Linked DNA regions of Bombyx mori. The protein of the gene in region 1 purifies or fractionates together with the protein of each later gene. This does not show direct contact. Links are inferred from orthologs where the notes say so. Each region holds a gene or a part of one and is shown on either strand. Other genes may lie near its edges. The genes, in order: paxillin, rho guanine nucleotide exchange factor 7 and integrin-linked protein kinase.

Region 1 (3,658 bases):
ATATTTTCGGATGAATACACACACAGATGTCTCTCACCTTGAAGTCGGAGAGCGACGCCATCAAGTCATCAAGTTCCTTGGTGGCGCTGGACGCGTGGTGCTGGTGCCGGACTACAGGGGCCGCCACTGGAATCTGTTGCTGAGCCTGAGCGGGTTCTACGACCGTCTCCTGCACGGTGACGGTCACCTGTTTGGTGCCCGGTCTGGGGAGAGTTCCTCCCGTCGATGGCGGTGGTATTGGAGATGTGGATTGGCGGCTGGCGACAATTATTGAGAGGAAATTGAAATTATTTTTTATTTTAGACATGTGGTCGGTTTCTTGTTACATTTCAAAAGCGCGATCGACTTTTACTTGTTGCTCGATGATTTCTAACTTTTAAATAATCAGATGATCGAAATTAAATAATTTAATTTAAGATTTTGATTTAGCACCTTTTTTTTATTGCCCCTTTAGTCAGAGGAACATGCGACCCACCTGATGGTGAATGGTTACCGTCGCCCATGGACTTCGGCAATACCAGCGGCAGAGTCAAGCCGCTGCCTACCGTCTAACATGTCTAATTTAACCTATCCTAATCTAACATGACTATTTTGTAAACTAATATGTGAATATTTGAGCTTTGTTACAGTTTCTTAGGAAAATGGTGTAAATGATCTTAGCCTGAAATTATAGTTTCTTTCTCTGTCTCTTTGTTTGAGAACAACGCAAAAGCCACTGTCTCCATTTCAATCATACTTTATCTTACGATTAGTTTCTCTATACAGTAACTGTAGTAAACAACAAATAATTTGCCAAAACGAAGTCGTATCAATAAAAAAACAATGATAAAAAAATCTTCATTCTCAATTCAACGTGGGCGAAACCGCGGGAACAACTATTTCCTGTTCGAAATTATCACATATATACATAATATATACACCTATATATATTTCGGGAGTTTTATTCAATAGACTTATTTACTATTACAACCTACGCGAGAACGGACCCGGTACTCACAAATTAATTACTGTTAATTTAATGGATGCGCAAACGAGATTATTTTGCGTATTCACTTCGAACGTATTTTTTAAATGTACTATAAACTATTTAAAAACTTTGCGAACGTACAAAATGTTATCTTAGAAACTTGTGATCATATCCCACAGATAACCCCCCCACGTTATCTGTGTCATATACCCTGTATGTACGGATGGTTATTGATTTTATGAACCTTAACGAGCTAAATACTTGATCGCTGATAGCCTAAGGGGCTGACCATTCCAGCTACGCCGGGAAAGTAGGTGAGCTCACGAGCTCAACTTGAGAGAATTTGCCAACACTAGCTCTCTAGCAAGAGCAGTGCTTCGCAGAATCTACCACCGGATCGGAAACGCGACCCACTGAGAAGATCCGGCGAGAAACTCAGTGGGCTGTGTTCGCTCGTCGACGAGTTCGACATACCCGATCCTGCGGACCGAATGATAAACAGCCGACGTCGCCCTAAGCACATAATTTCGGATCCACCCGATCCACTAACGGTGCTTTTAGGTACCACAAGCACGGTCACCGTTCTCGTCGAACCCGTCGCTGGCGACGAAGGGTTCGGCGAGTAAACTAACCCATGACACAGCCCACTCACTGAGTGTCTCGTTGGATCTTCTCAGTGGGTTGTGTTTCCGATCCGGTGGTAGATACTGCGAAGAACTGCTCTTGCTAGGGCCAGTTTTAGCAACACCTCCTGGTTTGAACCCTGAGAGCTCACCTACATACACATTAGAGTTACGCTGACATAGCCGCTCAAGGCTTAGGTAGGAAAAGCTTAGGTAGGAAAAAAAAGACGAGTTCGACGAAGACAGTGACCGCTGCTTGAGGGGACTAAAAGCACCGAGAGTGGATCCGGGGGAGGATTTTGAACATAGCTTAGTATCGGATGACGATGCGTGAAAAGGAAAAAATTGATACTAATATATTTAATTCCTTAGTTAAAAAGATTTATAATTTTATTTTTACTGAACATTTTGCTTTCTGCTATTATTTGGCGATGCGTCCTTTAACCATGAGATTGAGATTTTTATTTTATTTTTATTCTATAGGAAGCACGATTGTGTTAGAATCTAACTAAATTAGATTGTGGTACCTTTCAGTATGTTCGTATTCACTAGTCATCGATAACATATCACTAAATAGGATGTCAACATGTGATGATTTATATTGATTCAGAATTTTACATTCACCCTTCGGATATTCCGTGTTGCAGTCGTATACAATATATCAATTCGTAATACGAGGATAAGAGAAAGATTGATATCATCGTGACGTGAGCATATGGCCACTTGATGGAGAGGATCTACTGTTGATCATGGCCGTCAACAATGTTTGAGACACAGCCAGGCCGCTGCCTAGTTGGAATAATTAATCCATTTTAGAGGAATAATCCGTCTATAGTTGAATGAGAATCTGGCTTTGGTGATAACGATGATGCGGGATACGGAACGTTTAGAGTGAAAAGGATGAACGCATGGGTAAGAAACGGACGGAAGAGAGATGTAAAGAGAGATGGCGATCTGGCATTATAAGGTGAATAACAAAGACGTGTGCAAAAAATATATATATATTTTGTTACTTTTCCAAAAACCGTGTTATTTTACTTTGAGCTATCCCACAATGTTATGTTACTAAAACCCATACCCCGTCCGCTTCTATTTTCCTTACAGCTTCTGATGAGTACAATTAAATTAAATAATAAAATAAAGATTATGACAAATGTATTAGAACAGGTGGCACTGTTGAACATAACCCGTAAATACTAATTAGCGAACGGAAATGTAGTTCACGAGTCGCTCTTTGTTCTTGGCCAATGATCATTTACCTTCGCAACGTTTTAACAAGCTTTTATGAACATACATATTAATGATAGCTTTTTCCCGCGATTTCGTCTGCGTGGAATAGTTACTTTGGCGTATATCCACATATAGCGTAAGCTCTCAAAAGGGAAAAATACCCCGATTTTGAAACATACTTTATTGGTGCTCCGCTTGGTCCTATTAGTCCTATTGGTTTTAGCGTGATGTTATGTAGCCTATAGCCTTCCTCAATAAATGAGCTATTTGACACTGAAATAATTTTTCAAATCGGACCAGTAAGTAGTTCCTGAGATTAGCGCGTTCAAACAAACAAACTCTTCAGCTTTATAATATTAGTATAGATGTTTCGACAAAATCAATTTGAGAAGACAATCGAAAAGACGATATCTTAGTTTTAGGATAGATATCGTCGTTGATTCGAATTTAGTAGATAGAGTTGAAGTTCTTCGGTGACATTGCCAGAAAGAGCGGTGACAATCTTGAAAAATTGATGGTAAGGATGGATGGTAAGAAAGAAGGATGAATGGATGGCAAGATTGCAGGGAAAAAATCTCGTAACCGCAATCCAATGCGTTGGTCCGACCAAATCCGCACCACTCTGGATACCACAGTCTACGATGCCATACACACCGCTGAGAACAGAGGAAGATGTCCAAACATCATCCAGAGAAGAATAACTGGAGATGGTCACGACCCTTAGACATGAGGAACGTGACTCAGGGAGGAGGAGATAGCGAATTCACATTGAAACTTTTATTTTAAAATCGATTTTGTATCTACTCTATTTCTTTTTTATTTAACATTATCGTTTAAC
Region 2 (3,658 bases), on another chromosome or scaffold:
TTAAACCACCAGATAAATCAGAGTTATTATTCTCGCTCGTGGCCATCTGTAAAGAAAATTACTGTCATTACATTCTTAGTCGAGTATATTGTATTGAGCGGCAGAATATTCAGACATTAAACATCCAGTATCGTTTTTGTCCGTTTCTGTATTTTTATCTCGTAAACAAACACAGAATTGAAATTTGAACAGCATTTGAATAACAATGTATTAACATCAAAATTTTTTTTAGATTTAAGACATTTAAAATAAGTGAAAAAATCAAATTTGATTTATATCTCTTTGGTTTTTATCTCCAATTCATGGGAAGTACAAGGTATGCAAGCCTTTCCATGCATCACGTATCGGATTTTGTTGTTAGTACAATTAAACATATGATATCTACTTGCAGTGATCTCTTTTTAGTTAGTAATATGAATAAACACAGGCAAGGATGATCAAGTAAAGCACTCCATCGATGGGGTAACTCTAATAACAGCATTAATCTAATGGTTGCAAACTTCAAGGCAATATTATCTTCAAACCAGTGATACACAAACAGTATCTCTTTACAAAAGAATAATCCTTGCCTGAGTCGGTGACCACGGTTATCGGTAATTTTGCCTTCATCCACCAGTGAGCGTACAAATCTGAACGATACACCACGAAACCGCTCTGCCCTTCAGCTAAGCCCTTCTGCAATTTCGACAGATCTTCGCTGCGAGACCTTGTTTTTCGCACTTGTTCGAAATCGGCATTGCTATCTTGTTTCTTATCGTTGCAAAATATGTCGCGATTCCGCGGTGTGTTGACACGCGATTTTCTATCGTTAACGTTTTCCGAAGTATCTTTGTATATACGCATGTGATAGTGAAGACTAGGCTTAGAACGCTCGGTAATATTCAAGGTACCCCATTGGCAAGGTAAGTGTTGCCGAACATTCTTAGGGACCTCCAAATGAGTGCTAGGCTTTCGGTATACTCTCGGCGGCGGCTCCGGTTTCAGTTTAATCTCTGGTACATAACGTTCAATGTTCCTCCTTATAGACGTTCTTTTGATTTGTGAAGTCGGTACGGGAGGTGTGGCGGCAAACGTTGACTTTAGATGGGTATTCGATGTATCAGTTACGTCTAAGCTGTTCTCCGAAGTCACACTCGTAACGCAAGAGGTTCTAGCCGTGGAACCGAACGGAGATGTACACCGACATTGATCTTCAAAAGTAGCGGCCTCTATATCTGACAGTGTCAGTTTCCTTCGGAGACCTCTTGTGTCACGAGCCTCTTCTGGTGTTCTCATGTTATTCCGATCAGGTATCTTTTCGTTATGATCGGAATCATTTCCTGTATTGCCTGAGCTGGCATAATCGTGCATGTCTGGTGATGTTAGGGTGCAACTACCCACAACACCTGAATCTGAGGATCTTGGACTAGGACACAAGGATCTATTACAGCACTCACACTTCTTGTGGATTTTATCATTATCTGATTGTGAACTCATTCTCTGTACCCGATTTCCGTCATCTTTATTACTGTTACTTTCTGTCTCCACCATAGATCTTGACATAGAACGTCGGATTTTTTTATCAGAATTTAGCGAATGTTTCCGAAATGGAACATTTGTGTTCAGATTTACGTTAATAACTTTCATATCATCTTCATTTCGAAACATTGGAGGAGGATCTATTATGAGGGAATCAATGTCATGGCTGCATCGCTTTGGTGAGGGCGGATCTAAAACTTGTAATAAGTTGGATGTTAAGGATCCACCGCTGTCTCTAGTAGTGTAGTTCTCTTCTGTCGATTTCCATTGTTTTGGCAACGTGTCGACCTTTACGCTGCAGTTGGGATAGCTTCGCCTTGTTGGTAAAAAATCTTTGTCATCGTTTCCTAGCGTCTCTATTTGTGTATTTTGATCCATATTCACTAAATCTTCACAAGCCATGTAAGGTCGAGCTTCGAAGCTTGAATTTTCAATTCTTTCGGAATGTGGTTCATATTCTTGTAAATCAGGAAACCCTCCAAATACATTTTGTGCATTAACTATATCATAATCCAGGTTTCGATCACTTTCACTGTTTATTTCATTAAAACCATACATCGCTTGAAACAAATCTTTGGTGCAATCTCCCTTTAATGTCAAATTCGATAGATTTTGTGATTCTTCTAAATGCATATCTGAATTGTTATCGAAATACCGCACGTAGCCCATATTACTACCCCAACTACTGTACGAAGAGGAGATTGTTCTGGGACTGTCCATAGCATCCTGCCTCAGTACCTTCAAACAGCCTGCTGCTTCGGCATCCGTACAATTCGAGCTAGTGTTGCCTTCTCTGTCGCTATCGTCGCTATCCGAATATTCTGTTTCAGTTCCGATGGTGCCGTCGTTTTCAATTTTTAGCCTAATTTGATTTTTGTGTCTCCTCCTAATAGGCAAGCCTGACAATTCGAACGCTTTCGCCCATGTTCTTTCGTGCAATAGTTTACGCAACATTTGTTTTGTTATAACTTTTTTCTTAACAAGTCTCGCAAAATATTTCGTTAATGAATAATATGGAGATGCAGAAGGGTAGCTGGGAGGTGGTAGCGTCACGTGATAAAGACTTCGGCGGCTAGAGTTGATACTAGACAACGCTCCTTCAGAAGGAGAGCGGGTCAGCTAGTAACAATATCACAAAATAAGTATATATCTTTTTCAAGAGGAAAGGTAATGTACTATAATTGTTTTTTAATGTCTATTATCTTACGATTAAATTAAAAATACAAAATCAACATCAATAGTGAAATTAACGCGTCGACGGTGCAGCAACCCTGACAGCTGTATCACGGGGTCTGCTTTCGATTCTCGGGTATAGTAAATTTCTTTGTCGAAAATATTTAAATTTTGAGTCTGACTGTACTTATGTACGTCTCGGAAACATGGTTTCGGCACACATAGTAAAGAAAATGGAAGTGGTGCCATTGCATGTGTTTAAAAAAATTACTCTAATATAGTATTATGGAAAATGTGGAATTGTAACTTACATGAGGTAATGACTGCGGTTGTCCAGGCTCGTGTGTTGGACTGTTCGTGTTAGAATGCTTTTGTAACAAACTGACCCAATTGTCAGCCTCAGCTTTTGTTTGGCACACTGCCACTATAGTGTCTATCATGGGACCACTAATTTCAAATGCATTTTTTCTTGTTTCAGTATCATCTAATTTACACACTGTGATGCCTGTCAGTGGAAGACATCCCTAAAAAAGTTTACATTTCACGTCAATTTAATAATTTCTTTATTTGTAAGCAGCAGAAAACATAACAGGCATCAGAAAACACTCTTCTCTTTCAAATCTTTTAAATTAGACCATCCGGTTGTCATAATTAAAATGATTTACGACTTTGAACTCTGTAGTTAAAGCTATTAACTAAATATTACCTCATACACAAATGCAGATACTCTTTTGCTAACTGAAAGTAATAACAGCGCTGATGGGAAGAGTACAAGGTAGCGGTCCTGATGGGACGGGCCCACTGCCACGCTGCCCATATGTAACACGTCACCCAATGAGGCTAGTTCACCCCCGGGCCAGCCACGAACTTCTCCGGTTATAACTTGTAATTCTAACTCCTTTTGACGTCGCAATGCCGCACAAGCACTCTGAATCATAGGAAAAAAATAGAATAATCCAGCTGTATT
Region 3 (4,205 bases), on another chromosome or scaffold:
TTAACATTATTATTTCTCACCCCCACAAACATTCTCATCATTAACGCCGTGGTGTAGGGAGTGCAACACTCATATAAATATTAGCCTATTCATTAAGTACATGTATTTTCTACATGGATACCAAGTCAATCAGATGCATGGTTCAGTAGTTATAACGGAACATCCGTAAAAACCACTATAAATTTATATATTAGTATAGATTACAATATAGTACCTGTGGTATTAAAAGGTTTTTATTGACATTTTTTTTAATGAAGCGCTTGTCCTTGTCCGGGCCCTTTTTCATTTAACAATGACAGGACATGACCTTGAGACATGAGTTGTAAGGCTTCACTTTTAACAGTACAACGGCTGCCCCGCCCTTCAAACCGAAACGCATTATCGCTTCACGGCAGAAATAGGCAGAGTGATGGTACCTACCCGTGCGGACTCACAAGACGTCCTACCACCAGTAATTACGCAAATTATAATTTTGCAGGTTTGATTTATATTGCACGATGTTGTTCCTTCACCAAGTCAATCGTGAACATTTTAAAGTACGTATTTCATTAAAAAAATTCGTACCCGCTGGCGAGATTCGAACATCGATGCATCGCTACATATGCACCGGACCTCTTATCCTTTAAGCCACAACGACTTTAATGTAATCTCTTGGCTTCATCTGAAAGGGAATGGTTTGCTAACAACTGCCTGAGGGCCTCTAATGAGAGTCTAACAACTCAGAGTCAGTTCCGCTGAGAAAATCCCGAGAGAAACTCAGGAGGCTAGATAGTTTTAAAGAAAACTTGGTCTAATAAAGAAAATTATATGAAACAAAACATAAAATTGAATCCTTAAAAAACTCTTTACCTTTGTACAAGTTGACCTCTCGTTTTGTCTAGAGGTGTATCACCATACTTGTTCGCTATTGAAACAAGAGCACCAGCAAGGACTAGATCTTCAGCTATAGCATTGTAGCCCCAGAAGCAAGCATAATGAAGTGGCGAGTTCCCATGCTCATTTGTGAAATTCACATCTACTCTGTTTTGTAAAAGCTGAAAATAAATTTAAATGAATATCATGAATTGCATGCGCCAATCATACTTTGTTTCGGATTATTTTTAAGTTATAGAAACAGTACAAATAATAATATTTTTTACAAAAACAATTTAATTGAAATGTATTTGTTATAGATGTCACCTCCATTATGAGATTTGATAGAGCCAAGCAGTTCAGTTTCATCACCTAATGAGCCATGCAATATTCCTTAAATTTAGAAAATAACACGAAAAGAAATAAAATACAAAACATAATATTGATAGCGGATAGAGTAAACCCAAAGAGACGAAGAGCACGAATGCGTTTCGGTTTGTAGGGTGGGATAGCCGTTGTAACTATACCGAGACCTTAGAACTTATATCTCAAGGTGGGTGGCGCATTTACATTGTAGATGTCTATGGGCTCCAGTAACCACTTAACACCAGGTGTGCTGTGAGCTCGTCCACCCATCTAAGCAATAAAAATAAAAAAAGGCTCCTTGATCAATCAGATTAAACATGCATAAATAATATTCATGAGAAATTACCAATTGCACAACAGGTCTGTGACCATGGGCAGCTGACAGATGCAGAGGTGTATCATCTCCCATATTAGTCACGTTAATTCTTGCTCCACGCTTAATCAGCATTTCTACAATCTTAAGGTGCCCTTCTTTGCAAGCCCAATGAAGTGGACTGAAGCCATGATCATCGCTAGAATTATTTTCTCATTATAATTATTAATCATAGATATATGAATAATAAATAGCCAATAGGATGATTTCACTTTTGGAAATAGTTTCAAAATTAAATATACTTGGATATTATGAAACATTTTTCTTGAGTTATGTTGAATGCATTAAGTCATAAATAATAATAATAAAGTGATGAAGTGTTTTTAGTGAATAATACAGCCTATTTTTATTTGTAAAATATCAAAGACCTATTGCAAGAATGAGTTCTAACACACACATAAGTATGCAAAATGTTTTCCATTTAAATTTTCAATTTGTTTTTTTGAAAAAATATTATTTTTATTTTATACTGTATTGGTAATAATACTAATAAAATCAATTAAGTTTTGTAAATAACACTAATATTTGGAATATTAAAAAAACAAGTTTATGCTATAGAGCAGTTACACATTACAATTTGAAGGCTAAACAAAACTAATTGGGTCACTTGCACATTCACCCACCTATACAATAAAAAACTAAGCAGCAATAACATAGGAACAGGAAAATTGTTGTGTTAACTAAAGGTATAGGACTGTTGTGACTCATGCAGCAGAAATAAGAGGAAATATAAAACTTTAATTAGAATAGAAAATCCATGTTAATATACTATATGTGCACATAATGAGGAGCAATTTTAAATTGATCTTTGATTAGATCTACATTCAGGTAGAAGACTGCATAATCGTAAAATCGTTTTTTCATTTGAAGATCTCTCATTTGTACAATTCATTTAATTAGGAAGTTTTTTGCACATAATGTTTTGTAGTTTATTTGAAATTACTTTTCAAATTCCTGCAATTGTAGTTTTTCTTGATAATTTAGATGCTAATTTGTCGAACAGTATATAAATGACCTCATAGCTGTTACATACTTATGATATTTTTGTGGGAGCTGACGTGTTTGTACACTCCGCTGTGGGCGTGACAACATATCTTGACCATCTGGTCGTAGCAAAAACTTTAAGGACTAAAAAAACCTAAAACACTTTAAACTCACCCTTGATTCATATCATGTTCGGTATCATCGAGCCAAACTCTTACTTGCAAAGCATTTCCTTCTCTACACCATTGAAATATATCTTCCATTTCTTAAATCGCTTTAAACAACGGACACGATTTTTTTTAAACTATTAACTAAACGGTTAATTTAGGTAAAGAATGTAATTTAAACGTTGAAATTAAAGAAAAATTATGTACTGTTCCAATATTTTTAATTTAACATAATATTATAAATTGTAAATATGTTATCTGTGAATTCTGTGATTACATTTTTTTTTATTTTTTTTTAAAGAGTTTTTATGACCTGGTAACTGAAACTTTTAAGTCAAGTCTTATTTTAATTTATATTCTTATTTTTATGAAAAATTATAATATGGAGTGAAATGAAATGACGACGATTAATTTGAGACATTAATCAACTGTGATGAAATTAAATGATATGAGATGTGATGATATGGGATGAAATATAATCTCAGTAAAATTGTGGTCATTTACTAAGATTTTTTCATTGGACTTTTTGGAGGATCCCGAGAAATCACGTCCAGTAGCTTTGTTTTATTTTCCCACGTTTGTGCACTTTCACAGATATTAAACAGTTAATAAATCACCGTTATTACTAGAGGTCGGACTAGGTAGATCGATTTAAGGTCGTTGACTTCAAACGTAGAGGATAATATGGATATGCCTCCAAAATACCGGAACTTCATATTTATTGTGATATTTGTTCCGGAATTTTGAAATTAGCGTGAATCTGTGTTTAAGGTGAAAAATGTATTAATAATATTAATCTACGCTACCAGTGCTAGCTAATGGTGAAAGAAATTAGTATTTTATTTTATGCAAAAACGCCTTGGAATAGTTACACCGTATTTTGTCCCTTTCTGTTGAATTAGAAATGACGCTTGTCAGTATGAGACAAAACTTAGACAGGGTTTTTGTTATCTCATAAATATAGAAATTTTATCCGATGAGTATTAAACATTTTTTTTCAATTTAAAAAAATAATCATTATGGATAAAATGGCATGTCGATATTATAATATCTTGACGAAAGTATAAAAAATCAATCTACCTACTCCGACCACTGGTAATTACAAATTAAAACCTGAAGAAATATTAAATAGACAAAATAAAACAAATCACACAACTTCACTCCTCGCGTTCCCGCCAAAAAGTCCACTTCACTTCATTCGTTCCCAGTCCACAGAATATACACCTACTACTTGTATGACGTCTACTGCATCTTTGTAAAAATAACACTAATTTAAATGTTCTTCAAGCTTTGACTGTTTCAAGATTTTTTTAGAATACAATCAATATTCAGTCTAACATTCCACTTTGAAACACATCATCATCTTCAAGTGTCTTCCCAATGCTGAGTGTATGTCTCTTCAAATGCATTCCATTCTTTTTGGTCTCTTGCTTTTCACATTCAGTCCTTGCCAGCTATTTTGA

Evidence for each region.
Region 2: the proteins of paxillin (region 1) and rho guanine nucleotide exchange factor 7 purify together in Homo sapiens (affinity purification with mass spectrometry; 3 studies listed by BioGRID and IntAct, with this or other methods). This does not show direct contact. The link is inferred for Bombyx mori from reciprocal best matches to the Homo sapiens genes PXN and ARHGEF7.
Region 3: the proteins of paxillin (region 1) and integrin-linked protein kinase purify together in Homo sapiens (affinity purification with mass spectrometry; 4 studies listed by BioGRID and IntAct, with this or other methods). This does not show direct contact. The link is inferred for Bombyx mori from reciprocal best matches to the Homo sapiens genes PXN and ILK.

Annotation. Positions count from the first base shown.
Region 1 is NC_085116.1:14,677,596-14,681,253, reverse strand, and holds part of paxillin, read right to left. Parts: intron 258-3,658; coding exon 38-257; intron 1-37. UniProt on the Homo sapiens protein: Cytoskeletal protein involved in actin-membrane attachment at sites of cell adhesion to the extracellular matrix (focal adhesion). Recruits other proteins such as TRIM15 to focal adhesion.
Region 2 is NC_085110.1:9,314,632-9,318,289, forward strand, and holds part of rho guanine nucleotide exchange factor 7, read right to left. Parts: intron 3,620-3,658; coding exon 3,398-3,619; intron 3,216-3,397; coding exon 3,003-3,215; intron 47-3,002; coding exon 1-46. UniProt on the Homo sapiens protein: Acts as a RAC1 guanine nucleotide exchange factor (GEF) and can induce membrane ruffling. Functions in cell migration, attachment and cell spreading. Promotes targeting of RAC1 to focal adhesions. May function as a positive regulator of apoptosis.
Region 3 is NC_085117.1:15,202,006-15,206,210, forward strand, and holds the start of integrin-linked protein kinase, read right to left. Parts: upstream 2,894-4,205; 5' UTR 2,839-2,893; coding exon 2,750-2,838; intron 1,731-2,749; coding exon 1,565-1,730; intron 1,035-1,564; coding exon 850-1,034; intron 1-849. UniProt on the Homo sapiens protein: Scaffold protein which mediates protein-protein interactions during a range of cellular events including focal adhesion assembly, cell adhesion and cell migration.